Linked DNA regions of Styela clava. The protein of the gene in region 2 interacts with the protein of the main gene of each other region in a biochemical or structural test. Links are inferred from orthologs where the notes say so. Each region holds a gene or a part of one and is shown on either strand. Other genes may lie near its edges.

What was found.
Region 1: the proteins of receptor tyrosine-protein kinase erbB-4-like (region 2) and ras GTPase-activating protein 1-like form a complex in vitro, tested with the Homo sapiens proteins (2 studies listed by BioGRID and IntAct, with this or other methods). The link is inferred for Styela clava from reciprocal best matches to the Homo sapiens genes ERBB4 and RASA1.
Region 3: the proteins of receptor tyrosine-protein kinase erbB-4-like (region 2) and tyrosine-protein phosphatase non-receptor type 11-like form a complex in vitro, tested with the Homo sapiens proteins (2 studies listed by BioGRID, with this or other methods). The link is inferred for Styela clava from reciprocal best matches to the Homo sapiens genes ERBB4 and PTPN11.
Region 4: the proteins of receptor tyrosine-protein kinase erbB-4-like (region 2) and SHC-transforming protein 1-like form a complex in vitro, tested with the Homo sapiens proteins (2 studies listed by BioGRID and IntAct, with this or other methods). The link is inferred for Styela clava from reciprocal best matches to the Homo sapiens genes ERBB4 and SHC1.

What each region holds. Positions count from the first base shown.
Region 1 is NC_135257.1:15,736,726-15,744,651, reverse strand, and holds the start of ras GTPase-activating protein 1-like, read right to left. Parts: upstream 3,153-7,926; 5' UTR 2,895-3,152; coding exon 2,868-2,894; intron 1,566-2,867; coding exon 1,402-1,565; intron 499-1,401; coding exon 349-498; intron 1-348. Other genes in the region: tyrosine-protein kinase BAZ1B-like, read left to right, coding at 6,102-6,214, 6,722-6,838, 7,275-7,419. UniProt on the Homo sapiens protein: Inhibitory regulator of the Ras-cyclic AMP pathway. Stimulates the GTPase of normal but not oncogenic Ras p21; this stimulation may be further increased in the presence of NCK1.
Region 2 is NC_135261.1:9,855,874-9,863,394, reverse strand, and holds the start of receptor tyrosine-protein kinase erbB-4-like, read right to left. Parts: upstream 3,132-7,521; 5' UTR 2,880-3,131; coding exon 2,804-2,879; intron 1-2,803. UniProt on the Homo sapiens protein: Tyrosine-protein kinase that plays an essential role as cell surface receptor for neuregulins and EGF family members and regulates development of the heart, the central nervous system and the mammary gland, gene transcription, cell proliferation, differentiation, migration and apoptosis.
Region 3 is NC_135256.1:10,912,866-10,920,474, reverse strand, and holds the start of tyrosine-protein phosphatase non-receptor type 11-like, read right to left. Parts: upstream 3,295-7,609; 5' UTR 3,068-3,294; intron 157-3,067; 5' UTR 68-156; coding exon 48-67; intron 1-47. Other genes in the region: plastin-2-like, read right to left, coding at 6,141-6,291, 7,217-7,338. UniProt on the Homo sapiens protein: Acts downstream of various receptor and cytoplasmic protein tyrosine kinases to participate in the signal transduction from the cell surface to the nucleus. Positively regulates MAPK signal transduction pathway. Dephosphorylates GAB1, ARHGAP35 and EGFR.
Region 4 is NC_135252.1:18,272,939-18,280,486, forward strand, and holds the start of SHC-transforming protein 1-like, read right to left. Parts: upstream 3,155-7,548; 5' UTR 3,025-3,154; coding exon 2,878-3,024; intron 2,040-2,877; coding exon 1,969-2,039; intron 1,122-1,968; coding exon 935-1,121; intron 1-934. UniProt on the Homo sapiens protein: Signaling adapter that couples activated growth factor receptors to signaling pathways. Participates in a signaling cascade initiated by activated KIT and KITLG/SCF.

The DNA.
Region 1 (7,926 bases), on a different chromosome or scaffold from region 2:
TGGTGTTTAACTTTAAAGATAATTTTGATCTTGGTATATTTTAAAAAGAGTAAATGTGGAGTTGTAAACATAGGCATAACTAGATGTTTTCAAAGAGTTAGATATCTCACATTGTTCAACCTAAGTCTTATATTATATTTTTCTTTTTCTTTCAGAAATTCGCTCATAAAGGATATATTAAATTTTACAGTCATTTTTTAACCAAACAAAAATTTTCTAATTTTTTATTTGATAAATTAACATATTCAAACATATTAAACAATGCTTGCAATGCAACTGTAATATATAATTAACAAACAATAATTTATGATTATCTTAATTAATAAGTAACAACAATAAACAGCATACCTAAAATGAGTGATTCCAGTAATACTGAAAAAAGATAAAACATAGGAACCAGGTCTTCTATCACTTTCTCTCACAAGATATCCACCTTGTAATCCGGCTTCCACCAGTCTTTCCTCCGCCATATTTCTATCAAGTTTACCATGATACCATCTGCAAGTTTATCAAAATAAGTATTTAAACTATAGAAAGCTTAAACACAAGGAATTGAAATAACAGAAGACACTTAATAGCCAATCTCATTTGAATAACTCAATAGCTACTTTAGGAGTTTTTTATATATAGATATCACCTAATAAATTGGAAAATTACAAATAATCACTGAATTTGCAGAGTACCGTAATTAAATAGTCCTAATTAAAAAATTGATTAGTTTACTATATTGTAGTAATATAGTAATAACAAATTATTTTTCTTCCATTCAATTCATGTTTCACAGAAATTCATTCAAAATACCATTGCCAGTAAGAAACTAATCACACTGTATAGATATCTCAAGACAAACTAAATATATGCGGAATTGTCCCTTTTTGTTAGAGCAGTGTTTCCCAACCATTTTTCAAGATTCATTTTGTAAAATCTCACGACCCAAAGATATGCTCAATTACTAAATGGCCGTATGTACTGTAATACTTTTATGGTCGCAAAATAAATGACCAATCTGAAACAAACATTTTTACATAGCGTTCATTTCAATGTGCGAAGTTTAAAAGTTTGCCATCAGCTGTGACTTTACTTGAGCAAAATAAATGCTGCCAAGTTTTAAACTGTGATACTTCCCACATAGACTATACTATACAATTATAATTACTATTGAGCAACATCCAAATATAAAATAAAATTAGTAACTTTTAGGATTTTAATGAAGAAACAAGCAATTCAAGAAACAATATCGGGTCGCCACCCAAAGGTTGGGAAACACTGGTTTAGATAATCATGCACGAACTCTATTCATGTCATGTTCTCTATTCAGAGAGTTATGTTCCTCACAAAAATAATTAGAAAACTGTTTAGAATGAACATGTTTCAAGTGTGAGTCAGAAGTGCTATCCTCACTGATTTGGTGGCGGAGTGTCAGCTTCTTCCTGTCTTGTAACATCATAACTGCCATCCATCATATCAATGAGATCATCTTCATGAATTTCTTCATTCATGTAAACCGATTCATCCATACTGGCAATTGCGGGTTGATTGAGAAAATATGAATGATGGCTACCACCCTGAAAGTAGTTTATTTATTATAAATTATTTAATTTACTCATATTGTCGGACACACAGTGTACAGAAGGATCAAACAATCCCTATAAGATTGTTTCTCTGACTATATTTGCTGTTGTAATTCAGCAACTACCTTTCCGGACTCAATGACAGGTTTTTCGTGACCTATCGACAACTGCTATATCAATCTAAATAGAGTGTGTAATATTTCTGCCATTATCGCAACTCCTAAATGTCTAAAAATAAAATACCAATTTGCCCAAGTCCATGAAAGTATGAAAAATAGGAAAATTATTTTACAATAAAATTAAAATTTATCCAAATATGAATGTAATATAAATAAAAAACCTCTAGTACAGTGGTTCTCAACCTTTTTCAGTTTGCGGACCGGTCAAATTTCAAAACAAATTTTGCGGACCGGCGGACCTTCAAAATAAACTAAAAATGTCATGAACACAAAACTTAATCAAAAGAATGCAATTGCGACAAAAGTATGGTGCAAAGGTGCAGAAGAAGACAATCCAATTCAATGAAATATTTGCTGCCTTTCTAATAGTATACATGTTAAACGCGGTTCTAATGAAGTTTCTGTAAGGCGAAGTAGAGCGTTGACTTTGCGGGTTTCATTGCGTCGTTTGAAAGAATTCTAGCGCAGACTAGGCACATGGGAAGTGGTAATTTTAGTCTGCTGGGAGCAATAGTGAAACCTAGCTCCAAATACTTCTTATTAACTTGGGTTTCTTTTGTAAAACTGGTTAATACTTTGCTGTTTGTTTGCCTCCATTTTACTATCAAACCTCGCTAAATTATAGGCCTACTGTCAAATTACGGAGCGTGCAAACTGCGAAATTTTCAATTAGGCACCGTACTATAAGCTATCAAACTCCTCCGTTATGATGTTAGCCGCCGTTATGAGATCATAGACTTAACGAACATCCAGCCGTTCAAGCCTTGAAATGGGCAGAGGACCTCTCGCCAAGTTTGTTGTTAGAATACCGGTGCTACAAATCAATAAGAGTTGAAAAAAATCACGAAATTAAGGGACATGCCGTCAATACGTTGTATTTTACAATTTGCTTATAATATGTTAATATTGGAATATATCTGGCGGACCAGCAGCAAGTTTGCCGCGGACCAGTGACCGGCGGTTGAGAACCACTGCTCTAGTATATAAATTGTCATAGAGAAAAAAAACACAAGTATGAGCTATTAATTATACATGCCAATTTTTGGCCAAATTTTTACACAGAAAATAAGTCAATATTTGTCAGTCAAAAAGCACAAAAGATTGAAAAAAATCTTACGAATTGTTGAGGCAGAACAGATGACATACTTGAACAGCAGATACTCGTGTAGTGAGATAATAAGATATACCAATGAACAATTTTTCAATTCAATGATGCAGTATCAAAAATTGTCCGCATGTAACTACAAACTTTATATATCCAGAATAATGTCACAATCTTGTAAATCCATTTTGATATCCATATAGACTATTCATCGGCAGGAAGTTTCATTTTCTCATATTTCTGTAGCAGTGTAGTTGAAATATACAGGTACAAAGATGAAAAATTGATATTCAGATTTTGTAGTCTACAAATAAAGGAATACATTTAACATATATTAATTAACCCTTCTGGCTGTCTGAGCTAAATACCATTGAATTTATTACGGTATGCCTGTAGGCTATGGTGATATCTGGATATGTCTGTATGTAAGCATCTCGTCCAAGTCAAGTTTATTTTTTCCATCCAGTGAATAAATATAAATAAGAAAAATTGAACACAGAAAAAACGAGGAAAAGAAATGAAAATTACAGTTTTACTGGGGAAGGAAAGTCGCGAGGAACCGAAGCTGGTTATCAAGCAGCGACACACAAGGTTTAAATATCTAATTTACTGTCTTACATCGCTTAATATGGATAGTTAGTTTCTTGAGATTGCATTAAGACTAAACCAACTGCTGGAAGGGGAATTTCCTATTCTGCCATTTCAGTAGAATTTATTATAGCTAGGGCTGTTCCGACATTTATAAATATATATATATATATAGTCTACACTCATTTCAGTCAGTATTAAAAAAAAAATTTCATGCAATCCTCCCCTACAGCCCCTAACCAATGTCAGTAGACTGATCCACAATTGACAATACACAGAATCAAATACTTAATCCAGTAATACCAGTACAATATATAGAACTGTTTAAACTGCAGATCTTTGTGTCAAACTAAAACTAGGCTAAGGCCAAATAAATTATTCTCATTATCCACCCACTCAGCCTATTAAATATCCCAAGCTGACCCTGCGACTATTGAGAAATACTGAAATATAAAACGACAATACTAAAAACGGACAACCTTTACAGAACAACTCTCTATGATGACACCATGCGACTACGGTGGCCACAACGAAACAGCAGACTCCAATCACAGATGTTGCTTTTTTTTTGCCAAATAAATTCCGATACCAAAACGGAATTTTTGTATCGAGAATTTAGAAGCCAAATGTTACATTTTGAATATGTATTTTTTTTCGTCAAGTGGAATATCGAGTTCGGAATACAATTGCATTATTTGAATTTCGTTTAGGTGGAGAAAAATAAGTAGACAATACCCATACACAGATTACATCATATTTCACATATTCTATATCAGCAATTCATCGTAGTTACAATGCAGATGATCGATGTCCCAAATGTCATCATGGTGAAAATAAATAGGTATATTTTATATTAGCATGGAATAACAAAATTTATAAAGATTAGACGGAAAATATGAATAACTATCATGCCAATAGGATTTTCCTATTTCCTGTCTATGTAAAACGTATTATTCATATCTAATATTCAACAGAATTTAGCAAAAACCCAACTAATAATATCCTATAAAAAACATGCAACATTAAACATTTCACATGTATTTAATTAAATTGAAAAAAAATTTCAACTCATTATGGAATTTGTTAGGATGTCATCCACTATTTCATCAATAAGAAAATTTTGTCTGTCAAAATTCGACATTAATTTTCCCATCCCATCATAGATTTTACATAACAACCCATCTAGCTACGGAGCTATCCGCGACAATACTGTTTATGTATTTGTACAGTGTACATAAGCTGCTAATACGGTTATGTACGCTATATGATATGGTAATTTATTTTGTACTATGCAATAATACAAAAAAAAAATTACAAACAAACTCACAGAACAAAAATTTAGAAAAACTGTCAAAACTTCAAATGAAGGTTAAAACGTGCGACACAAAAGTATCAAGTAAGATGCTATCCTTATGTCCCGAATGAACTACATGTATACTCCGTGGCCCTACTAAAATAAGTATAATTATATTTTTGATTTGTCCAGCAAAAAAATCATACACAAAACACATACAATGAACAACAATTCGTTGAACAATAAAAGTTATGCTAATTTTTTTTAAATACAATTTACAATGCTTGGCAACACATTTTTACAGGAACGGATTATCGTTGAAACATACGCATTTAGTCAACACCATTTACGTATTTGTTAATTTCCATTTTCATAATCACCACAAATTGTATTAAATATAATAAAAGAAAGCAACAGTTTAATTTAACTGTGATTTTACAGTCTTTCTAAAATCAGCTGTGTCAATGCTACATACGTCACAGTGAATGAAACACATGATCGGTTGTGGCGGGATGAACTCACTCAATAGTTACTTTATAGAGAATGGAGCCCGCGCCTCGACTTGATATTCTTGACATTTTCGTGGCGTTAATTTTTTGTCGTGCGCGCATTCGCGAATGACGCGTTCGATACCTTATGTAAGGGATATTACAACTATTCCAATAATAAGTCTGTTAAATTTGTGGCGCCATTGATATCACGACAACAAGGTAACCTGTTTTTGTTCGTTATAGCCTATTCGGATATTTCTGGATTGCAGTATTGTTTTTACGTCTATAGTCCCTGAATTAAAAGTGTTAAATCATGTAACATTTTAAAATTAAGGCTGCTTGGTCGTAAGCACTGGCAATATTTTATAATTATGTACAGCCTTATTATCAATCAATTCAGGCGCGGCGGTGTGGCTCAACGGGCTAAGCGTTAGGAATACGCTCGCCACCGCACCTCTAATTACTCTGCGTGGGCTCGCAGGTTCGAATCCCATGCAGGGATGGTTATGTGCGAGAGGATTGCTGGACTCCTCGCCGTCGTTGGGTGGTTCACGTAACCGCTGGTCGGTTACGGCTTCCTCCACCACCAAGTCCAGGCTTCCGAAAACAAACAATACAGTAAAATTAATCCCATACCCGACTTGGAATGGTAACCGGACGAGAGGCCGTGGTTCGCCATATGGATAAGCCGTCTTATCGGCTTTCCTCTCCCCCGGGATAAATATGTAAATCCTATCCTATCCTATCCAGTAATTATAACATCTGTTTTTGCTGCTCATACAGATATAGCATTAATATGTATGGTTGAATACCGGTAACTGAATAAGTATATAATTTAATTTTGGGATAGTATTGGTTCACAACAGCTTGCCAGTCATGCCATTGTTTGGCAGACATATTTTCAATGGTCCAGTTGAAAATGTGGAATTGGACACTGCAGCAGAAACCTATACAATTCCACATACAGGAGAATTCTTCACATCCAAAGAGTATCCTTTTCAAATTATTCCATTAGCAAAATATTATAATACTGTAATAAACTAAATATTTATGTGTGCACAGAAATGCTATTGAATTTCATAAACAATGACTAAATGAATTATGATTTTCAAGTATTCAATTCAAAAACTTCCAGTTTCGGCAAAATTTATTACAGTAATACTATTATCTGAATTTATCATATCTGAATATTCTGATATTGCTATTTCTGTATTGTAAAATCTTTTGTCAAATGTTTTTATGCAATGAGTAAAATTACTGGAAATAATATGTACATGTGAAAAAGAGGATTTCTAAAGAGCAGCAAGGAATGGGTCTACTTTGTGATCAAACACATTTTTAAGTATTCTTTATTTCACTACGATAGCCTTGCATTATATGCAAATATAGAGCTTCTCGCGTAACATCATCTCTGATAGGTTTGGAATTTCTTTGTGTTCATGAGTATTCAACTTCTTGTTTTGATTGAATTTTCCCTAATTACGTCATAAATTCAGACAATATGATGACAGAGTTCAGTTATATAACAGAAAACTATGGACTTGTCAATGCACAGGACATATCAATCTCACTCATAAAGAGGCTTTAGAATCCGAAAAAAGCACAAGAGAAATGTATTGAATTCATTTATTTTTAGATCAGATTTGGTCTAATGTTTTTGTTCCGTCACAGTTCAACTTCTTTAAGCAAAACGAGATATCGTCACATTTTAAGGTTTCGAGAAAAACGCATTTTGTAATATTCAAATTTGTACAGCTAAGGGAGTACCTGAAATTTAAACTAAAAAATGTACATCTTCGAAACACAGACCAAAAGATGGTCCCAGGTCCTTAATGACAGGAGATGAATGAATTCCATTTCTAAAAAATGTGACACAGGCTACTTTGGTTTTACTGCACCGATTATAACTGTAGAGACAAAAAAACATGTCATATAGACACTGTCCCAGTACCATTTTATAACAGTTAATAAAGTTAGAACCTATTTTTTAACAATTCGCAATACCAATTTAGGCTTATTGGTTGGTTTAATCTTCCTTTTCACTCCCAGGTTGTCAAAGTCATTTTCTGATATCTACGAAGAGGACGTCCTGCGAATAACTCATCATTCATCTGATGTTCTTGATAAAATTGTCAATAAATCTTACAAATTGCTTCGATCTCAATTGTTCGTCAATGAAACAGTTGTATTTGAAGTAAGAAATTGTATTTTCTTTATTAATAAACAAATTAAAAACTCAAAAATCAAAATCGGTCAATCACGAAGGCAACTACTACCAGAGTCGCATCAGACCGTAAGACACCTCGATTAAAAACTCTGTACCTTTTGAATTATCGATCAAAGCATCATACGAAATAACGAAAATAAGCGAATGATTTCATCCTCAATCCATATGGATTCTAATTAGAATGAAACAATGCTGTAATCCACAATTAGTTATACTTACTCTGATACCATTTCTATTTTTGATCAAAAATGCTATGGTACAATTTTTGTTGCCATTTGCCAATCAATAACTAACTGGGCTAGTTATCGATATTTCGACATTTTCTTTCAAATGGATAATAGTGGAAATTCAGGAATTTTTCATTTTTGATATCGGAATATAACAAATGATATCACATAACTCTTTCTGAAAGAATACCGTATTAACACCTGTGAGTGCTAAACTTTGACCTAAGAGGCCTATCACCACATCTTT
Region 2 (7,521 bases):
TGGTGATAAATACGTTGAGAATCACCTAAACTTCTTACGTCACAAAACCTGGAAGCTTTGGGATTGGCACTATCTAAAATGCCATACCACATGGGAGTTGCGCTATATGCGTTGGTCAGTATTCGGAACAAAAATAAAAAAAATAGTTTGGGGTTTTTCGACTATCATTACGTCCAAATAATTAAAAATTCTGTCACAGCTTGACATTCCAATAAAAGTCTTTTACGAGGTTTCTCAAAATTGAAACAATCAACCACGGTACCAAAAAAAGAGCATTTAGGAACAAGTATAGAAAACAAAAATGATCTATATATAAAATTTAATGCCATACAAAGGTGAAAATGCATCTGGTATGAGATACGAATTCATTAAATCTAACTTTATCTGAACGAGGCCAAATGTTTGCAGCAATACACTGGCATTGCGTGAGACGGAATCCGCTATATACACAAATCATATATTGTCTATACATTGTACTAAGCGAGACCTAGTCGCGGTCATTGTCCTCGTAGGACACCCATAGAGCGAAATTCACAATAGAAATACATCCTACAATAATTTCAAAGCAAACATAAAGAATAACGCGTTGGTCAGCTGTCGGTTCCAAGTTTAGGTGATGGCCTAAATCGAGAGAAATCATTTCGTATGACAATATTCAGACCTACAGCTTATGAAATCTCTATGTTTGCCAAGCATTTCCTAACTTTACTTCTGGGTTGCCAGTTTTCTGATGTCATTTGATGGTTGTTTGTTTTTGAACATGGCACAATAATGATTCTAACGATAAAAAAATGATAGATAATATGATTTGAAACACAAAAAGCAAAAATGTGTCAAGTATGACTAGAGGATGCGTGTGGTGAATCGAATTATCACAGTATTCCCACAACAGATCCTTAGGGGCTCATAAATGTACATGCGTGAAGAATTGCCTGCTTTACGGCAATGCCCAACAATTTTACATATGGGTTGCCAGTTTCATCGATTTGCAAGGACACGCGTTCAAGCCACTACAATGTCTGTCCCAAAGGATTTATCCAAATGCTGTGAACTTTCAAAAAGGAAATAGGGCGAAAATAAACAACTTTATACACGACGTATTCGTATTGAAGCGCTAAGTTAGTAGCGTACGTTCATGCTATCATTAATCGTTTGGACGATTAATGATAAAATGGATGTCGGTACGAGGACATTATTGGACATTTTTAGGTTCTTTTACTTTCGCAATCTCAACAGTAAACATTTTGGAAAACGAGTTCGCAATAGTCCATTCAGATATTTTTTCGTTTATTCACAAAACAATATTTTTGTATGAGCGTCGAGATTGTCTTAATCTGATGATACATGCTTGAAACAAAATTATATTATTGATTTATGCAACAATAATTTTCATACGTAAAAACTTCACAGAAGTTTGGAATTTAATATTCAATACAATGAATTTTTCAACAATATTTGTGCTGTGTATATCCTTCATTTCAAAATTATTCAAATTACTCAATTCCGTGGGTTTCATCGTTAGAATCAAAAAACAAGTTAGGATAATCCGTTCACGGAAAAAACGATTTTTCGGCAAAAGTTCACGCCCGTGTTGATGGTACAATTTTCAACAATATTCCTGTTGTATGGTTCCAAATCAGCTTAACGGGACGGGACGTATTCGCCGTACCAGCAAGCAACAAAAAAGCCACGTTAATGTTTTTTTCGTAATTTTCTTAGCACAATTTTTTGGTGTTTATAGTTTTAGTAAGGCATTGCTTGATGGGGCGGACAAAAATAATATTCATTTATAGGTCTTCGTTGATCTAAAGATGTTTATTTGTCAATTAAAACGAAATGAAATACAAACAAACTTTAGAGATTTCCTGAGAATGATTGAACTGTTTTACAGCGTATTAAACACAGGTTGAATATTTATGATCAAAACACTGAGTTCTATGGCCGGAGGGAAGATTTAGCTTCAAATTCTCGAAGGTTGGTTTACATTACTTTCCAAAAACAAATTCCTTTGGACCGAATCAGGTCTTAAGGATTACTCCGTGACAAGTCTTATCAAAAATCAAATTCGCATGTCGCCAATCATAAAATTTGCGTTTAGATTGATCAATGAAAAGACTGCCAATCGTTGATCGATTTATCATTAGTTCAAAATACGAGAACGTATATTTTTCAAGTATAAAAATGGACCGAAAACCAAATTCAAATACAATTTCATCAACCACAAAGAATTTTATCTGTTATTTCTTGGAGTCAGCGCATTTAGTTGAAAATTTAATCTCATTCATCAACCAGAGAACACGTTAGTTGTCCATAGAGAATGTTTGGCTCAAGCATAACTATTTGCATTTAAATTGCCATTGCTTCACTTCGATTATTCTCGTAAAACGATATTTGCAAAACTTCATTATCATATGTAATTTGATATATCTATATCATTATCAGCATCACATGTTATATGTGGCAGAACGTATTGTACAGAGAACCACAAACTTATATATACTCCCACGGCCTTCGCGTTTCCATTGCATACTCTTACTTGTATTTCCACCACTGTTATTACTTTTTTTTAGGTTGATATTTTGAATTTAATACTAACAATATAAACTGATGATTGAATAAAGACGTAGCGTAGATTCGTAACTTGCGCTGGTTATTGGTGAACCCAATAAAAATGATAGATACGATTTTGTGTCCATATATGCTCGCATATAAATACTGTAGTAGCAATTACCATTACTTACATTACTCTAATCAGCTAAACAATAAAACAAGATTTGAACTAAATTTGTGAAAACAATCATACCTTTTCCTTGTACGCCTGAATTTCTTGACACAAACAGAAGTAAAATCAGAACCAATATATTGATCTTTAAGTTCATATTGTCTTTGGTTGTAAAGACGTTTGTTCTTGATCTTCAAGTCTTCATGCGTCCATATCAGAAGACAAGATTCGAATATATTCCGGTAATGGATTATTCATATATATATAGGGTCCGTGTGGTTTTCTCTTTTCAAGTTTAAATCCGATCAAAGATGTGAACAACCTTACTTCAGAAAACGAATAATAAAATATTCTTAAATTAAAACACCGGATCGATTATATTCAACTTATCAAAAATCCGGAAGAATTGAGAACTGCATGAAACAATTTGATGAAATAAATGAAATATTTTTTAATAAAAACCTAAAAATCACTTTCTCCACTAAAAGGCGGATGTGTTAAAATGTTGATGTATAACTTAAAATAAATCTCTCTAGCATTGGTAACAATTTATGTTCTTTTTTTAGTTATAACCTTGGTTATAAGCCACTGTTAACAATATCGAAATGTCAAAGGTGTATTCTTTAATTCAATCTTTGATCTGATAACACAAAGCTCTAACAAAGTAAAAACTGATTTTGTTTTTGAAAAAAGTAGATCAGTTTACTGGTTGATACACCTAAGCCTTTCGAATCAGTGGTATCAGAGGAGCAAGAATCTAGGTAGAGAAACTCACTGTTGGTTTGAACCCACAACTGAACTGGTGTAACACTGAAGAAAACTAGCATAACACCGCATGTTAACAATAAAATTGACGCCGTGAAATTGGGATTATATGATTGTATAATATATAAAGTTCATAAAAAGTTTATGAGAAGTGCGCTTCTAATATAATAATCCTATTATTCTTCTTCCAAAAAATCTCATCGTGATTTTCTTAATTTAAATATGAGAAAGTTTTTTTCTGCCGAATTCGCAATTGAGTCAATGCGTTTAATTTATAGAATATTGTTGAAGTTTATAAAATATGCTTCTACACAATTCAATTCTGTACAGCATTTGCGTTACATTTAATCCGTATTGAAGCGAGTGAACGACCGTTTCGAACACTTAATCGGAGAGCCTCTACAGCAAGTAAGGTTTTACACATTCAGATAGAACATATAACTTATATGCACAGAGGAAGTCTAGAATATCAAGAAGACAGGGAGATGACAGCTTAATTGAGTATGTATACGGCTTGAGTAAAGCGGTAGGAAGTTTGAATAATTCACATTTCAGATACACTATTATGCGCCAGGTATGGACGCATTTGAAACCTTGATTAAGATGTGAGAAATCATAGCCAATTTTAAACGCTAGCGACAGTTATAGATGTAAATCTGACAAAGTGCATTGCTTTACGAACACTTATAAAGCATTGCAGAAGTTGGAACAATCTTGAATGCAATGCTTTAGAGACACCGGACCATATATCGTTTATTAGATTTACTGCCGGAAAGAGGGGCAGGAAACAATCCCTGACAAAACCTTGAGGATAATAAAAGCAAAGGACCAATAAAGTCTGCAAACAATGAACGTTTTGCAGGGAAACAATAAAAGTCAACAAATCGTGGAACATCTTATGAATCATTAACGACTGAAGTTGTTTGTTTTATCACGGGAGCGAGGCAGGAGGTTCCGATATCGAAAGACAAATATATTTGAATGATATCGAACTAAACCAGCTAATCGCAGTGAAAAAATCTGTTAGGTTACTGATATACAGTAGTGATTAGACCACTGATTATCATGTTGGTACCCATTAAAAAGTTGCAAGGAGTATCTCATATTTTCTATCATGAATACTGTACACGGTTGTATTGCTTCAATATAATATCATTTATTTTTGAATTTATCGCGCGGGGAGTGATAGAAGGCGTATAAAGGAGCAAACAATACGGATTCGAAGATTCTTTTGCCCAATCCTATAAAATTATTGTATATAGCTACTTGAAAAAGTTCTGCAAAACGAACTACTTGCTACTATGAAGTGAGCGTTGCATCTATATAAGTTCAACCTGGTTCTCAACCTTCACAAAATCGATGTAAAGATTCGGTAGACTTTAAAAGGTCCATTAATGGTTACCATATACTTTATGTCATGCATATTTCATCGCTTCACTTCATCAATGCAATTGAAAGCGTTTGAAATTATTGCACCTATTTTTTTTTTATCACAAAGATCATTATACATACACAAGTGGGGATAAAAACAAGGACTGACAACCTTCCAATTCAATTCTGGTTAACACGAAACGAATTCGTCATGGTAATTAGGTGTGAGTATTTGGCGCTTCAATAGTTTATATCCTCAGCTCTGGAATTATATTGGACTTATAGTTATCTTAAAACTTTGTCAACATAAATTCCGTTTTTTGGGGTAGAAGTGATTAAATTTTGTACAAAATGCATTAAATCTGGAGCGTTATATAACGAGCCAAACTTTCTATAGTCTTTATAACCTACACGTTATTTACGCAAGCACCGGACCATGTCAAACACAAAGAACGTCATTGAGGGCTTTTGAAGTGGGTTGTCCCATTGTAATGTTCCGCGAATCGTTTGCTGCTAAAGCGACCAGGCACAGTCGTGTTTAGATAATAACTCGAACAGGAACTGACTAGACCCTTTCTACTTAGCGTTCTACAAGTTAACACCTTCGGAACTTCCATTATCAAATTTAATGCCCCAGTATTATAATCCTGACCCTAAAATATCTGAGATATGCTACGTCAATCACTTCGCCTCAGTAACGAAATATTCTATAAATAATTTGATATTTTATATATACCTAAAAATATGAAGATAGGTTTGTTTCTACATTATTGCTCAAACATTATTCAAAATATTGGTTTTTATACAAGTTAGAAATTATAGAATACCAATAATATTATTGAATCAGAAATAACATGTAAACAGAATGAAGCAACACCGTGAAGCTAAATCCGAACGTCGGGGTCCGGTCTGGCAAAGCCATTTTATCGCGAAGAATTGGAAGTTTCTCAAGAAAGTCTCTAGTCTCAAGACAGCGAAAAAAGCAACAAAACTTTCGGACAAATATAAGATATTTATAAAATACACAATTTTGCAGCCAAATTTATTTACAAATAAACAACGCCATACCTAAATTTCTAATGACTGTACATATATATATATATTCTTATGCCTCACAAATTTCCTTGAACTCTTTACCTGTCGTAAGTTTGAAAAACTTTCTTATCGCTACCTCTTTGCAAATACTGTCCAAATCGTATTGTTACGTTATTCTGACTGACAGTGGAAGTACTGAATTCACAGCTTGCTTCAACCTAAGATATAAATAATTCAAGATTACCACCTAAATCCAGCTTTAACAGAAGCGGCGATCGGTTGCGAACGACACGGTATAAACCACGATTTTTTGCGACTTTACGTCATAAATCTACCTTGACGTCATACGTGAAATACAGAATAATAACACAAACCCTAGTCCTGCCACAGCAAAAGCCTAAACGTCCGTACACGTTTCGCCTCGCGGTGAATAAGGCGACGTTCCACTGAGCGTAAATAGACACCTGTGGCCGTACAGGCCGATAAAAACAACCCTGGCAGGTAGGAGAGAAAATAAAGAATAAATTTGCGAGAGCGAAGAAAAATGGCAGTCTATGTCTTTCGGTGAGATGGTTCATGATCATATAAGAGACATATTCACACGACACGCGCTTGCGAAAAATAATATATCATATAAAATGGCATAGGCATAAAGATATTATGATGTAAGAATGATATAACTCACTGTAACAGTGTAACTCGAGCTACTCAATTGAACAATTCAAAACCAAATGAGCAAACACAATAAAAATTTACTAGTGGAAATTTACGTCACCTGATCAAATCTTGCAACTGTTGCTTTATGCCCAAACGGGATCATGTAAACTGTATAAAGGAATGATCTTCTATTACGCATGGGATAAAATGATTAATTAATGACTCCGGTAGCCTATATTTAAGTGTTGTAAATCGATGTACTGTACATATTCTTGAATATAATTACCACGGAGCAATAATTATGAGGTTTTAAATTAGTTAGAAAACCCTTACCGAAGAGTTCAATATAGAATAGAATATGATTGCTCGAAATTCGATTGATTTGACCAGTTATGGAGGAAAATGGATTTTAGCTACTTAATAGTCAAAACTGATAGAAACAAAAGGATAATATTAAATTTTTATGGTAGATTTTATTTATAGAAAATATACAGCCTTTGACGGGTTATTTTTTGACAATATTACCTAGGTAGGTTCGAGTCCGGAGCAATCAGTAAATTGTCCTACCCAATCCTACTCTTGTACACGATATGTAGAAATTCGAATACCGGTATGCTGCGGAAAAGAGTAAAAAGATTTTAATCTTATTGCCCGGTAATCACAAACTTCCAAGTGTTAGCCTGTACAGAGTATTTCTCTAAGACAGATCGACATAAAATGTGCCTTATATTTTAAAATCTTCAATTAGTATCCTGTGGACTTTCCAGGTCAAATATATTATAGAAATTTCATTGTTCCGATGTTCATATTTCCAAAACGCCCGATGTACCAGATCATAAAATTAGATTCAATTCAGAAAAACGAAACATATCCTAATTTGGTGAATTTCACTCTCAAATGTCGCGCAATTGAATATCAATTATTCTATTGCATTGAATTAATTTGCAACATAACGTCATGTATGTTTCTAA
Region 3 (7,609 bases), on a different chromosome or scaffold from region 2:
CACATCATATTTTTACCAGTCTCTAAGATACCAAATATTGCACTCACCTTCGGGATATCGATGTCATTTTACACGAACGACCGTTAATTCTGAATTAGTTCCCACAAAAGTGAATACATTAGCCTCTGACTACAAACAACTAGGTTTAGTACTGTAGTACGCCACCGCAATGCCAGCAAAATTCCAGCCAAATCTTGAAAAAGTTGTACCGAATGTCATATCGAAGTGTGGCCGTGATTTTATACGAAATATTTGACTATTTCGAATATTTTCGGTCACAGGGGAAAGATTCGAAAACACCACTGGATAAAAGACTACTAATAGAACTTATTCCAACGAAAAAATTGAAGTGACATCCCACGAGTTTTCGAACTTTTTGAGGTTCGAAAATATTCAAATACACAAAAATTGAACTTTTTCAGGAAAAATCGAATTATTTCGAATCTTTCCGGTCTTGGGGGCAAAGATTTGAATATACCATTGGATAGAGGACTAACATAAAAATATATTTCAACAAAAAAATTGTAGTGTCATCCGAAGAGTTTTCGAACTTTTTGAGGTTCGAAAATGTTCAAATACACAAAAATTGAACTTTTTCATGAAAAATCGAATTATTCCAAAATTTTCCGGTCCTGGGGGCAAAGATTTGAATATACCATTGGGTAGATGACTAATATAGGAACACATTCCAACAAAAAAAATGTGGTGACATCCGACGAGTTTCCGAACTTTCTGAGGTTCGAAAATGTTCAAGTATGCGAAAATTGAACTTTTCCACAAAAAATCAAATCATTTCGAATCTTTCCGGTCTTGGGGGCAAAGATTTGAATATACCATTGGATAGAAGACTAATATAGGAACATATTCCAACAAAAAAATTGTGGTGACATCTGACGAGTTTTCGAACTTTTTGAGGTTCGAAAATGTTCAATTACACAAAAATTGAACTTTTTAATAAAATATCGAATTATTTCGAATCTTTCCGGTCTTGGGGGCAAAGATTTGAATATACCATTGAAAAGAAGACTAATATAGAAACATATTCCAACAAAAAAATTGTAGTGACATCCAAAGAGTTTTCGAACTTTTTGAGGTTCGAAACTGTTCAAATACACAAAAATTGAACTTTTTCATAAAAAAATCGAATTATTTCGAATCTTTCCGGTCTCGGGGGCAAAGATTTGAATATACCATTGGATAGAAGACTAACATAGGAACATATTGCAACAAAAAAATTGTGGTGACATCCGACGAGTTTTCGAACTTTTTGAGGTTCGAAAATGTACAAGTATGAAAAAATTGAACTTTTTCACAAAATATCGAAATATTTCGAATCTTTCCGGTTTCGGGGGCAAAGATTTGAATATACCATTGGATAGAGGACTAACATAGGAACATATTCCAACAAATAAAAAGGGTGACATCCTACGAGTTTTCGAACTTTTTGAGGTTCGAAAATATTCAAATACACAAAAATTGAACTTTTTCAGGAAAAATCGAATTATTTCAAATCTTTCCGGTCTTGGGGGCAAAGATTTGAATATACCATTGGATAGGGGACTAACATAAAAATATATTTCAACAAAAAAATTGTAGTGTCATCCGAAGAGTTTTCGAACTTTTTGAGGTTCGAAAATGTTCAAATACACAAAAATTGAACTTTTTCATGAAAAATCGAATTATTCCAAATTTTTCCGGTCCTGGGGGCAAAGATTTGAATATACCATTGGGTAGATGACTAACATAGGAACACATTCCAACAAAAAAAATGTGGTGACATCCGACGAGTTTCCGAACTTTTTGAGGTTCGAAAATGTTCAAGTATGCGAAAATTGAACTTTTCCACAAAAAATCAAATTATTTCGAATCTTTCCGGTCTTGGGGGCAAAGATTTGAATATACCATTGGATAGAAGACTAATATAGGAACATATTCCAACAAAAAAATTGTGGTGACATCTGACGAGTTTTCGAACTTTTTGAGGTTCGAAAATGTTCAATTACACAAAAATTGAACTTTTTCATGAAATATCGAATTATTCCGAATCTTTCCGGTCTTGGGGGCAAAGATTTGAATATACCATTGAATAGAAGACTAATATAGGAACATATTCCAACAAAAAAATATCAAAAAGTTCGAAAACTCGTCGGATGTCACCACAATTTTTTTGTTGGAATATGTTTCTATATTAGTCTTCTATCCAATGGTATATTCAAATCTTTGCCCCCGAGACCGGAAAGATTCGAAATAAATCGATTTTTTATGAAAAAGTTCAATTTTTGTGTATTTGAACAGTTTCGAACCTCAAAAAGTTCGAAAACTCGTCGGGTGTCACCACAATTTTTTTGTTGGAATATGTTCCTATGATAGTCTTCTATCTAATGGTATATTCAAATCTTTGCCCCCGAGACCGGAAAGATTCGAAATAATTCGATTTTTTATGAAAAAGTTCAATTTTTGTGTATTTGAACAGTTTCGAACCTCAAAAAGTTCGAAAACTCGTCGGGTGTGACCACAATTTTTTTGTTGGAATATGTTCCTATGTTAGTCTTCTATCTAATGGTATATTCAAATCTTTGCCCCCGAGACCGGAAAGATTCGAAATAATTCGATATTTTGTGAAAAAGTAAAATTTTTTCATACTTGAACATTTTCGAACCTCAAAAAGTTCGAAAACTCGTCGGGTGTCACCACAATTTTTTTGTTGGAATATGTTCTTATGTTAGTCCCCTATCCAATGGTATATTCAAATCTTTGCCCTCGAGACCGGAAAGATTTGAAATAATTCTATTTTTAATGAAAAAATTCAATTTTCACATAATTGAACTTTTTTTTCAAATATTCAATATTTCCATATCATATCATTATAATAAGAGACAGTAATATTCCCAAATCATCATCTGAATATAAATCCTCCGATAGCGTGATGTCCCAAAGTATTAGTTTTCGTAGAAAGTCAGAAAGTACATTTTGTTAGACCAGGAAACACTTTAATATGAAATTCGGGAATATGAGTTTGATATTTGGCTGGTATTTGGCTAGCATGACAGTGGTGTTTAGTACTGTAAACAGCCAATCTTACGTGAGTGAGGGACTCCGGATTCAAGTCGGGGACTCCGGAGCATTTATTTTAAATTATGTTGTCAGCAGTCGGCCTTGAAATCGAAGTTTCAGACATTCAGAAGTAAATTTCAACCATAAAAAAGTTTATTAAACGTTCCAAACAGTCTCCTGAAAAAGTTTTCATCAAAATTTAATTTACTCGGGAGTCGAAACCTCCGTCAACCGGGAGTCGGAGTCGAACATGGCGCGGCGGCGGTGTGGCTCAACGGGCTAAGCGTTAGGAATACGCTCGCCACCGCACCTCTAATTACTCTGCGTGGGTTCGCAGGTTCGAATCCCATGCAGGGATGGTTATGTGCGAGAGGATTGCTGGACTCCTCGCCGTCGTTGGGTGGTTCACGTAACCGCTGGTCGGTTACGGCTTCCTCCACCACCAAGTTCATGCTTCCGAAAATATACAATACAGTAAAAAACTAATCCCATACCCGACTAGGAATGGTAACCGGACGAGAGGCCGTGGTTCGCCATATGGATAAGCCGTCTTATCGGCTTTCCTCTCCCCCGGGATAAATATGTAAATCCTATCCTATCCTAACATTATTTAACTCTTACTTTCAAATATATTTGCTCTTTTTCAATGGTAGAGTTTTATCTAATGTGCGCGTGTAGCTATATCGTTGTTAGGACGTCGGGTCAATATATTTATGTGGTAGACAAGGGTGAGTTAATGAACACCCGCCACTCCTGTTGGTAACACCGGTTTCCTTAAAATTCGCTCTCAGCAATGCTGATTTTGAAGTCAGTTTCCATCGGATGATCGTTGATATTGTGTTGCTAAACCTTGCTGTTGGGAAAAATCGCATTCCTCCACAACTAATGGACCAACCAACCGATTTCAGGTATTCAGTACTAAAGATGGAATGGCTCTCATGGTTATTTCATAATTAATTCGTTCGAAAATACTACGTATTCGTATAGCAGAGAAATATAATTGCTACTCCCTTTTCAGTGTACACAGGAACAACTGATCATTCTAGTTACATTGTTTCGTTTCCTGCTCTTGATCATTCATTAACAGATTATGAGAAAAGAGCTTGACTTGATTTTTATTGTAACCTAGGTCCTAGTGTATATAAATTGGCTGTGTACAAGTCCATAAATCCAGAGTCGACTCACGGGCAATCAGAGTCTAGTAGTTGGTAGATGACGAATCTGAATTTTCCCATTTAGATGACGAGTCTTTGACAAATGACGATTCTGGTCCAATCAAGGACTTTAGCCTCCCTAACATTGGTTGTGCCTAGCTAAATTTTCACATTTATCTTGACTGGTAACATGGGTTTACCATTCGACAGATCACAGTTTTTGTTCGTTCTCCATTCTAAATAAGGTATGGCAATATTTTATCAGATATTAGTTCTAAATGGCCTGGAAAGGTGCAAATACCCCCTTTTTAATCATTGGCAAATTTTTAAACCATAAAAGAAAATCCAATTTGCAACGGTTATGAACCAGAACATCTTTACATAAACAAAATTTACTCGATCAGCGCTTCATCAACCCACCAGAGAATTTAATATCCTCAACCATACCCAGTAATCCTATAAATTCATAAAGAATCATGACACACATTTATAACTGGATGATTAGTGTTATAGTATATAATAGCTGATATCAATATCACACACACTCCTTGTATTAAAATTTGAAAATGTGGTTTAACGAGCATTAGATTTGGTGAAAAACTAAATAGCGAGCTTTACTGCATAGGAAATGCACTTTAACAAAACTTTTTGCCGATTTAAACAAGAAACTCATTTGAAAGTGACAAAATTAGACTTCGTGAATCAAAACATTCAACGAAAATTATTTACCAAAAATAATTGAACTCAACCGAAATTGCATTTTTAGTGAAAACAAACTTACAAGCGACTTGGAATGATGCAACAGAATAATATGAAAAATGCATTATTGTTATTGCTAATATTGTGGATTGTGAATCGGTAATAAAGGCATAATTCGGTGTAGTAGCATAATTGTCTAATACTGAATCCCACAAACCATTATTCATAAATTCACAAAATAAGTTTTAATTGCTATTTGGACAGATAGTTACAGCATAGTACGCTACATAGAAATAAGAGTGGCCAAAATAATTTCAATGCGTGCTTTTAATTTCAAATTTACCATTGCTCTAAAAGAATCCAGTGGCCAAAAAAAGTTTAATATGTGATTTTAATTTCAAATTTCACCATTGCACTAAAAAAATCCTGATAAAAAATTTGAATAAAATATTTGAAAAAAGTAACGGTATGATATTGTATTTTTTGGTCACACAAAACATATAATATTAGCAGTAACAAAAGCCTATCCTACCGTGCTGAGATTGGAATGTAGTGAGTGAATGCGACAAACAGAAAATGATGTGTAATACTCGGGACTTGGATTAGTCATGGATACAACATAAACCTGGTGGCCAGAAACGATTTTTACAAAAAAAAAAAGATAATGCTTCATTAAGATACATGTTATAACAGGGTTAAATCCTCATCTTTGAAAAATTTTCTGAGTACATTATATACGGTATAACATTATGTTTAATATTAAAATATATCCAAGGTATAATGATACTACTTTATGTACAGTTTGAATAAGTGCCAAGTTTTACCAACAGATTTTAATGCCAAAAAATGCCAGATAATTACTGTTATAGGACTAAATTCTGGTGTAATTTTAATATGATAGTATAGTGTGTGTGTGAAAGCAAGAGCCAGATTAACTAAAATACCAAGTGCATGAAATGAAAGTGAAAGATATAAACCAAATGAATGTGCAATGACGTATTTAATAAAATTGTCATAATATGTGAAAATGTTACTGTTAATCATTATTGAAAAAAAAATGCGAGCAAACATACTGAAAATAATTTGAATTCTGGACCTGCTGCTCTACATTAAAGTAATGTTTGATGACTTGATGTTACATTCTTGAAATTTGCATAAGGACAGAATTATTGACACAATTGTTGGAATGCACATCTTCAAAACTTCAATAAGAAAGTCTTAAATTTCGAGTCCTCAATTTTCCCCCTCCTCACTTTTCAGCTGCAAAGCTCGGACCATAAGGCAAGCAAATATTGTCATTACCATCTTCTGGTTTACTTCCCACAAATCATCAGGCAAAGCATAAATTTTAGCTCCAATTTTACGGCCCATGGAAATAGCGTATCTAAAAACAAAATGGAAAATGCAATTAAGGTTGTTTGTAAGTACAAAACATCAGAGATTAGATTTTCAACTAGGATCAGTGGCTTTCATAGTTTAATGCAATTTTTACAGCCCAAAAAAATATGAAAAAACCTTAAGTGACTCTATCTGTAAGGTACGAAGGCCAAAACGAAGAAGCATAAAATATTTTACAGCACAGACAGTTTGACCACGAGATGCTAAAATGCGATCATGGAACCTTGACATGGTGCGTTTTGTTTCAATTTTAATGACGTCTCCGCACAAACACAAATCCATAGAGCCCACAGTAATTTGGGAAATAAATAAAAGTAATATTCTAGCGACAACATTATCCTTAATCTTAACCACTGGAAATTTCAAAGCAATTGGTCCATCAGTTATTGAGAAAAGTGATTTTTCCACAACAACAACAAGAAAAATACAATATGACAAAACGGTCCATTGGTCCACTTCATGTCCGACAATCCAATTAGCAATCTTGTTTATAACCAACTAAAACTAGGAGTTGAAAGGGGAAATTACCATATTCAAACTAAAACTTTAGTACCCAATTACAGTTAAAATGTGTTTCAAAACTGGTGATCTAAAACTTGTAACATCATTACACACAATTAATCAACAACAAATCTATTTCAAATCTTACTGATAGGGTCAAGGCCATTATAAGAAGTAAAAATGCCGGAAAAAAAGTATATAGTACAGTACAGTATATGGCTATATGCTATATTAAATTTTTTCCTTGAAAATTCCTGCTACGAAACTAAAAGCACCTTGGAGGTTCGAGTTTAATTTAGTAGAGTGGAATGAAATTTCAAATGGCGGAATTTTCTAGATGAAATTTCCCTAGCATAATTTTGTGAGTGTGCTTTGAATAACTTTCCAAAAAGCATAACGCAGTAAAGTACCTCGCATTGCTCTGCTGCTCTTCCTCATTATCACCAGGTGAAACATTGCTGTAATCAATAGATCCTTCTGCAATAGCATCGATGAGATCGAGAACAACAATCGATGTTCTTATAGATGAATCCTGCAGGGTAAAAAATGGTTTGATGGAGAAATATGCAAATATGGCAGTTCGTAACCAGTGAAATATTTTGAATCCGCGTTTCTCCTCAATAAGGTCGCTGGGCATTCTCGAATATCTAATGATTTCAGAATATTTTTTTTAATCGCATTTTGAATACTTGAAAGACTTGTAATAGTATGTGTCATTTTTTATTGTAATGTTGTAAATTACTGAAATTATAGAATCCAGGTAGTTCGCTGAGTGTTCACACGACATAAGAAACAGGTTTTAT
Region 4 (7,548 bases), on a different chromosome or scaffold from region 2:
CGTACCTCTGTGCATTAGTATAATTGGGTAAATTAGATTTTAAACTCATGATTGATTCTTTTATTGGATGCATTCTGACACATGGTCATGCATCTCAATTAAGATGCTCATTTGTTGCTACAACAAGCACGAAACTATCAGTTACACCGATGGCACAGTGGCAATTACATCAGAGCCTGCCCATTCTGATCCTAATTCTAAACAAACCATATCAATAACAACAAAGTGTAACAAAACTTGTGTTGCCAGTATTCCGAAGAACATTAGTAGCCGATAGTATGCAATATTAATAACAACTCTAAGCGTCAACTTTACTTTCGATTGTATTTGCAAAAAGAAGAAAAAACCTGTACTTATCATTTGAATCACAAGATTCAAACCTAAAAGGTGATGGATGGATTATGACAGTATAACTGTCAACTGCACTTTCCATCGTATTTGCAAAAGAATAAAAACTTGAGTTTATCATCAAATTGAATTGAAGGACTCTTATAACTCTCAGTTGGTAGAGATTTGTTCAAGTTAACATCCACCATACCTCACTCATTCTGAGAACCTAGTCAGAGCCGAGAGGCAAGTTTAAAGATGATTAATTTTTTGTCTACTTGCACCCACTAAAATCATTTTTTGCAGAAACGAAGTTAGTGAGCTAGAATGAGTTATTTTCAAATTAAGAAACTTTTGTAATGAAAGAATGCTCGTAGCAAATCTACAACAAACAATATCTTAGTTAAGCAGAAGATGATGAGAATATTTAATCTAACTGCAGGCCTTTGGTGAAATTTAGAGTTAGATAACTCACGAGAAGGTTTCAAACTCCATGTTAGCTATTGTCATTTCAGTGATCACCAGTAACTTTCCTCACACAGAGCTTTTTCATTACTGAGTATGTGTGAAGCACATTTTCTTTAAAGTGTATAAATATCATCAATACCTGTCCCGAATCAGTGACAACCAAAGTCAAACTTGCTGTTGAAATTGTTAAATTAATCAATGATAATGAAAACTGTAGATTGGGACGTTCTCCTAGAATTCGTGAAACTTCTTTCGGAGTCTTTTTCCTTCGAGAAACCAGTTGATGTGATCGTCTTGTGGCCATCAATATTCTCCATATTGCTTCCCTTTAAAGTAATATCAGAATAAATCATCAGAAAAAATTAGTAAATGGATCAAGCTATGGTATCAGCTACATTGTCTGATATAAAAAGTTTGGAACAGCCGTTTTTTCCAGAGTGAAGGTTTAAACTTGCAAGTTGCAAACTAATCCTTAAGCCTGTGACTTCCACTTATAAAAGGATTACTGACAGTATTATATCTCTTAGAAAATTACAGACTTTTTTTACAGTTTTACAGACTCTTTGCCCTAGAATAAACATGGATAAAACACCATTAATATCTAATTGTACCACAACAAATAGCATGGACCAACAACTACACGTAATCATTTTGAACCGAATCTGAAGTAATTTGATCATTGATACCTAGCAGTAGATGCTTTACAAAGCCTTGTTCACTTTTTTGATGGTAAAGGCCATAAACAACATGGTATAAAAAAAATTTAGATGCCTAAAAAAATTGAGTTTTTTCAGCAATTGGCCTATATTATTGGTCTTACATAAGAAGTAAAAAAGGCAGTATTTTACTTGCAGATCGACTCTTACAGGCTGGATACAATAATAGTCGAAGCGTTAGAAAAATTGCTTCTGAATTCATTTCAAGATTGGATCTTTCATTGGGTTCATACCCGTGAACCCTTTTGACACCAAGATTTTATATACTGTGAATGACAATTACAATGACTAATGCTTATTAATATTCATTACATCACCTCACCATAAACAGATATGAGGAAAGATAAGACCTTCCTGTATACTTATCATGGTTCTTGTACACAAATTGCATACCAAATTTAACACTAAATGGTCAGGCTCTAACAAAAAGGGATAAACATTTTGACTAGAAACTCACTTTGTTGCCTGTGTCCTCATATCGAATTGTAATGTCCGCATACTTTGCCTGACTTCTATACATCCAAGATACTATAAAAAAAATATGAAAAACAAGATAAAAAATATGAGAAAAATGCTCAAATTTATGAACATGACAGTTCAACAATTAACTGCAGTAGGTTATGTATCTTACACTCAAACGTGGCTGAGTACCTAGTTCACAAAACAAAAATGAAGGATAACCTTGACAATGGCAAAAATGAAATAAAAATAGGTTTTCCATGAATAAAAATAAAACAGTGATATTTTGGGTATAATATCGGATCTCACAGGGTTTAGGGGGAACTTGAAAAAAAAAATATTGAACCGTCAGGCTATTACTTCCCCATTTAAGTAGCGGAAATTTGAAATCGATTGGTCTATTAGTTAACAAGAGAAGCTATCTCAAGTATAAAATACGGAAAAAAATCATCATTTCTACTTTCATTGGTATGAGTCTGGCATTATTTCGTTCTAGCGAAGTGAACGCTGTAAGAGCTTAAATGATGCCAAACAAAAATGGGGTCTAGCCTAGTACTTCTAGTGAGCTTGGGTTTCATTTTACTTACTGACTTAATACGCCAAGAATTTCATTCCACGCTGACCGACTTTTTTTTAAAAAAAAACATGAAAATTTCCCATCATATTCTAGTTCTGTGTTATTTAAGCAGTTCTGGCGCTCATTTTACATCAGATATTTGGCATTTTAGGTCACAGCGTTTACAGGTTTACTTCGCTAGACCCCATTATTCTTCTATTCAGTTATTCTCATCGATAACTGGATAAGCCTGTAAGTTTCCTAGATTATTCATTGAGTCATTGCAGCATACACAGAGTTTACTAGATTATAATGAAAAACATTAAAACCATAATGTGCATCAAATATTACCCGAACTGCATAGACGACGCCAGGTCCCATCACAGAATTATCTGGATGGAGCCATCCTCTTGAAGGTTTATTCACAAAGCTCCCTGATTTCCTCCATTCATTTGCTTGATCTCCTTCGATTACCTTTTTGTTTTTCATTCGATTCATCTCTTGTATTGTTTGCTTATTAAATTCACCAAAATCTAAGTCATATATCAGAATATATATAAACGTTTACCGGCGGAAAAGATAAAAACAAGAACAGCTCGGCTACGTCCAGACGTCTGAGACTAACTGTGAAATGTCAAGTTAGATAGAGATAGAGATATTCTTAAAAATTGTTGATCTCCAGCGCCACCTCACGATGATTCAGAATAGAGCAAAAATTACGACATACCGATGTGAATTTTTAGATACCTATGTCGGAAAATATCGGCCGTCAAAACGCGACCCTGTGTTTTCAATGTGCGCTTTGCCACTGCTTTTGATAATATTAAAACATATCCAAGAAAAAATCAAGACATGTCAGTGCAATACAAAATTTCATATTGATTTATAAAAGGGTACTGAGATTTTTTAAATCAACTTAAATTCTTTTTATTAATTTGAAAATCATTGTAGCGCTGCGTGTGTGAAGTGCTAAATTTATATCAGCGATTTAAAATGATATAATGATACGTGTTTATTTAGACTAAATTAGCATCCAGTTTATTCGAATCAGTGATATATATCTCGTTATATTTGTTCGGTTGGAATTCTAAAAATTTAAAGATACATTTTGAACAACTGGTTGCCGAATACTTCAACTATTAAACAACTATTAAATGGATGTGAAAATATCAATAATATTTGCTTATTGCACAGAACCGTTAACTTGTTTTCTACCAGAAATGCATTAAATGAATTCGTTGGATGTACTGAACTAGAAATATATATAGCTCCGCGGTTGGGCCGAATGAAAAGTTTCAATTTAAAAAAAGAAAGTAAACGTTTAACAATGAAACGAATTTCACACATTTCCGGCTTGTTGCCTGCGGCTCTTTTACCATAATATACTGCACACATCTGGCAGTGTTCATTCCTTGATATTTGAATATACTATTAACAATAACCAATTTAACATTAACCAACATTGCATAACAAATTAGCGATAGCGACTATGACATTTGCCCGACTTACAGAAAATGACGTTAGGAAAAATTTTCGGCAATATGTTGTGTTGTTGAAGCCGGTTTCAAACCGCCAAAAATTGAATTACAATTTTAAAAAGTCATGTATACATGTTTGTTTTGTTTCTTGTTAGCTTTTTATAGTAGTTTTTCTTGGAAATTATACAAGTGAGTGAAAAATCAGATTATTTTGGGAATAATTGAAGCAGGAAAATCGTCAAAAATTTGCTTTTCTAAGTCACTCACAAAAATGAACGTTTCGTTAATCGCAATAAAGAATGAAGTGAAGAAGCCACAAAACACAGTTTTGTTACAAAAATTTAAAAATTGAACACCACAATGATATTTTTAAATCCGATGACGGATCGGTATAAATCAGTGGTTCCCATTTTTTGGAATTTTTCAAGCCTCGCGCCCCACCTCAAAAATAACTAGCTAACAATAAGCTACAAATAACAGATGGTAAGGCGAAAGTATGTTTCATTAAAAAAAATCACTTTGGAAATACGTGGATGGAACGTAAATAATGAAATAAATGAAAGTTTTAAAATCGTGCAAAATGTGAATATCCGAAACAGGGCGGGCGAGATCAAATCTAACAAATATAATATATTTTTATTATTAATTAGCTTCCCGTCCCCTCAAAATTTGTGTACGCGCCCCTTATGAAGCTTCCCACCGTTTAAGAACAACTAAAGGAAACTCGACTTGATTCAGTTTATTGGGATTAATTAACTCGATTCACGAGTTAACTTGGTTGTGCAACTGTCGTGAATGGTGCCGTACTTAGGTGGCTTTAGTGGAACAGCTGTCATAAATATCGCCAATATCTTCAATGGGAACTGCACATTCTTTGATATAAAGTAGTATTCTTTGAGGGGTTATTCCAGTGACCGTCACTAGCAAGTAAATCCCGAGAGTTGATGAATAACACCCACACTTGATTTCGTCCATTTGGAATGCTTCTATGTCCAGAACACATTTGACTATTTTAATCTAGAATTGGATTAAAGCCATGATAAAATGGCAAACAGTGTCAGAACACAATGGCGTTGCATTTCACTCTGAAGATAAATATCTAAAATTGAACGTTTAACAGTATATTCGAATTATTGAGACATAATTACTTTTTACTGTGGCAAATACGAGGTGCTCAAGCGCAGCAATTGCTGTACCATCAATCAGAAAACTTGTCACTTGTCGCAAAAATTTCATTTTTTTTCATTTTTTATTATATACAAATTACGCCTCTGGAGCAAGATTTTCAAGATATCAAAAATTATAAAGTAAATTTTTATTTGTGCTTAATGATTATAAATATAATACTTACCAATTCATTGAAATTCCTGAGATTTAAAGTGTAAAAACACCCTTATAACTATTCGCGGTAACACTTCTTCTCGACACTTCAGACTCCTATAAATCAGGCAAGTCTAATTTTATCAAGGCCATGACCTTGGAAACATGTTTACCGCATGATGTTGGCCAATGTTCTTATAAAAAGTTCGTCATCAAAAATCGACGAACACGGTTCCGTGAAAACATAGGCTTCTATTATATTATTAATGCGCGTTTGTGGTGTGTTTTATTACGATGAGCAGGCTTTTTAATTGCTTTTGAGATAAACATGCCTTCTATGTTTGACACCTCATATCGTCATTGTTAAAGTTCGCAGGTTAAATACAATAACAGAGAAGATTTCTTTCATTTCGAAGTTTTGTTCTGCGTCAAACTGATATATATCATAAGCAAGAGAAGTTGACTATTACTATTGTTAGGAAAAGATGCGCAGGAGGGTGAGTAAATTCAATTTTTAATTAGTACGATAACTATAGATATTTCCGAATTTATAAGACTCAAAATACAATGTCTTGTTGTCGAAAGATCAAGGTAACTAGAACGTCTGCAGTTGAATAATATTTTATCATTACAGTAAAGAGTAAACACTCTTTAATGTTCTGTTAAATACTACAAGTGTTCATAGCAACAATATGTTTTACAAAACATTATTTCTTAAGCACCGCAAAATAAAATAGTGTTGAAATTAGGAGAAAGTTATCTATTTCTTCATTTACTTTTTTGAACTATATTTTGTCAAGTAAACAGCAATCGGAACAAACAACCAACATTCAAATATCTAATCTTGTATACGAGTATTATTTTATGCGTATACAATTCTTTTTGAAAATTATCTATTCAACTTTTCTGTAAAGCTTGACTGTAGGTGAATTATTTCACATTGTAGTCGTTGTTAAATTTATTTTACAGCTTATAATTATGACGTTATCGTAATCCAATATACATGTGATGACATAACACTTCAACTGACAGATAAATGCGCACATAACACAACGTGTTGGTCGAAAATACCCAAACGCAATTGCATTTCATATATTTTGGAAACCCGTACGTAATATACACATTGTATAGAGAGGCAATAGAAATGGCCTCGAGCCGTTTGGTCATATTCAAGGAGAGAATGAGCTAACGAAATAGAAAATTAGTAAATATTGATAACTTGAGTGTACGTACTGCTCACGGTTGCTAATTTGTCAGCTATCGCGCGTAATTGCAATATGGATACGGTATATTACTCTAAAATTATTGTAATATTTGCATTATTTTTCGATATTCTTTTTATCTATGCTTTCGAAATATAAATTGTTTATTGCTTTTATAAACAAGGTGATGATAGATGTGCAGATATATACAGGAAGTGCTGTACGTGTAAAACTCCCGTTAATTCTCTGATGTGAAAGCATTTGCCTCCGCGTTGGCTGCAGAAGGATTAATTAATATGACCAAATTTGGGCGATAGTTAGATCATGTGATTATCGAGAATATTTAAAATAACTTCGAAAAAAATTCGTTGAGATTTATGTTGTCTATATATGAGATGTGCCCAGCTGAAATGACAATGTCTTCATTATCAGCCGATAAGTAGAAGGATCATGCGTGCAATCTTGAGGATTGATATTTTGTAATATGGCGTCTGCTTGAAACAGCTCGCTCAGCTGGCTGTCTTATCCTTTGAAACATTAGCAGCCATCTGAGAGGTTGGAACACGCGGATGAGTTTTTCACCGTTTAAAATACTAACTTAGGTATTTCTACCTAAATACACTTTCAAGGAATGTGACTGGGAATTCGAATATTTATTAAGATTGAACCCTGACATCATGCAAAGAGTGGGTCAGCGTAAATATTGAATAGACGTGCACCTCATGCCAAAAAATACGTAACTGGGGTTTAAAATTAGCATAATTGCTTGATTGGGGTAGAATGGTATAGGAAATTACACTTGGTATTTCAATTTTTTATTTTATCAGTATGCTAAATAAAAAATCTGTTCATTGATATAAAGCATTCAAACTAAAGGAATTCTGCGTTATATAGTTTTCAATACATTTCGCCTCAATTCAGTTTAACTCTATTTTAACGAGGATTATAAGTTGTCTGAGTGAAAATTTGGGTACTCCCGCAGTGTGTGTACCAGGTTAGGGTTAGGTCATAATTTCATTTTG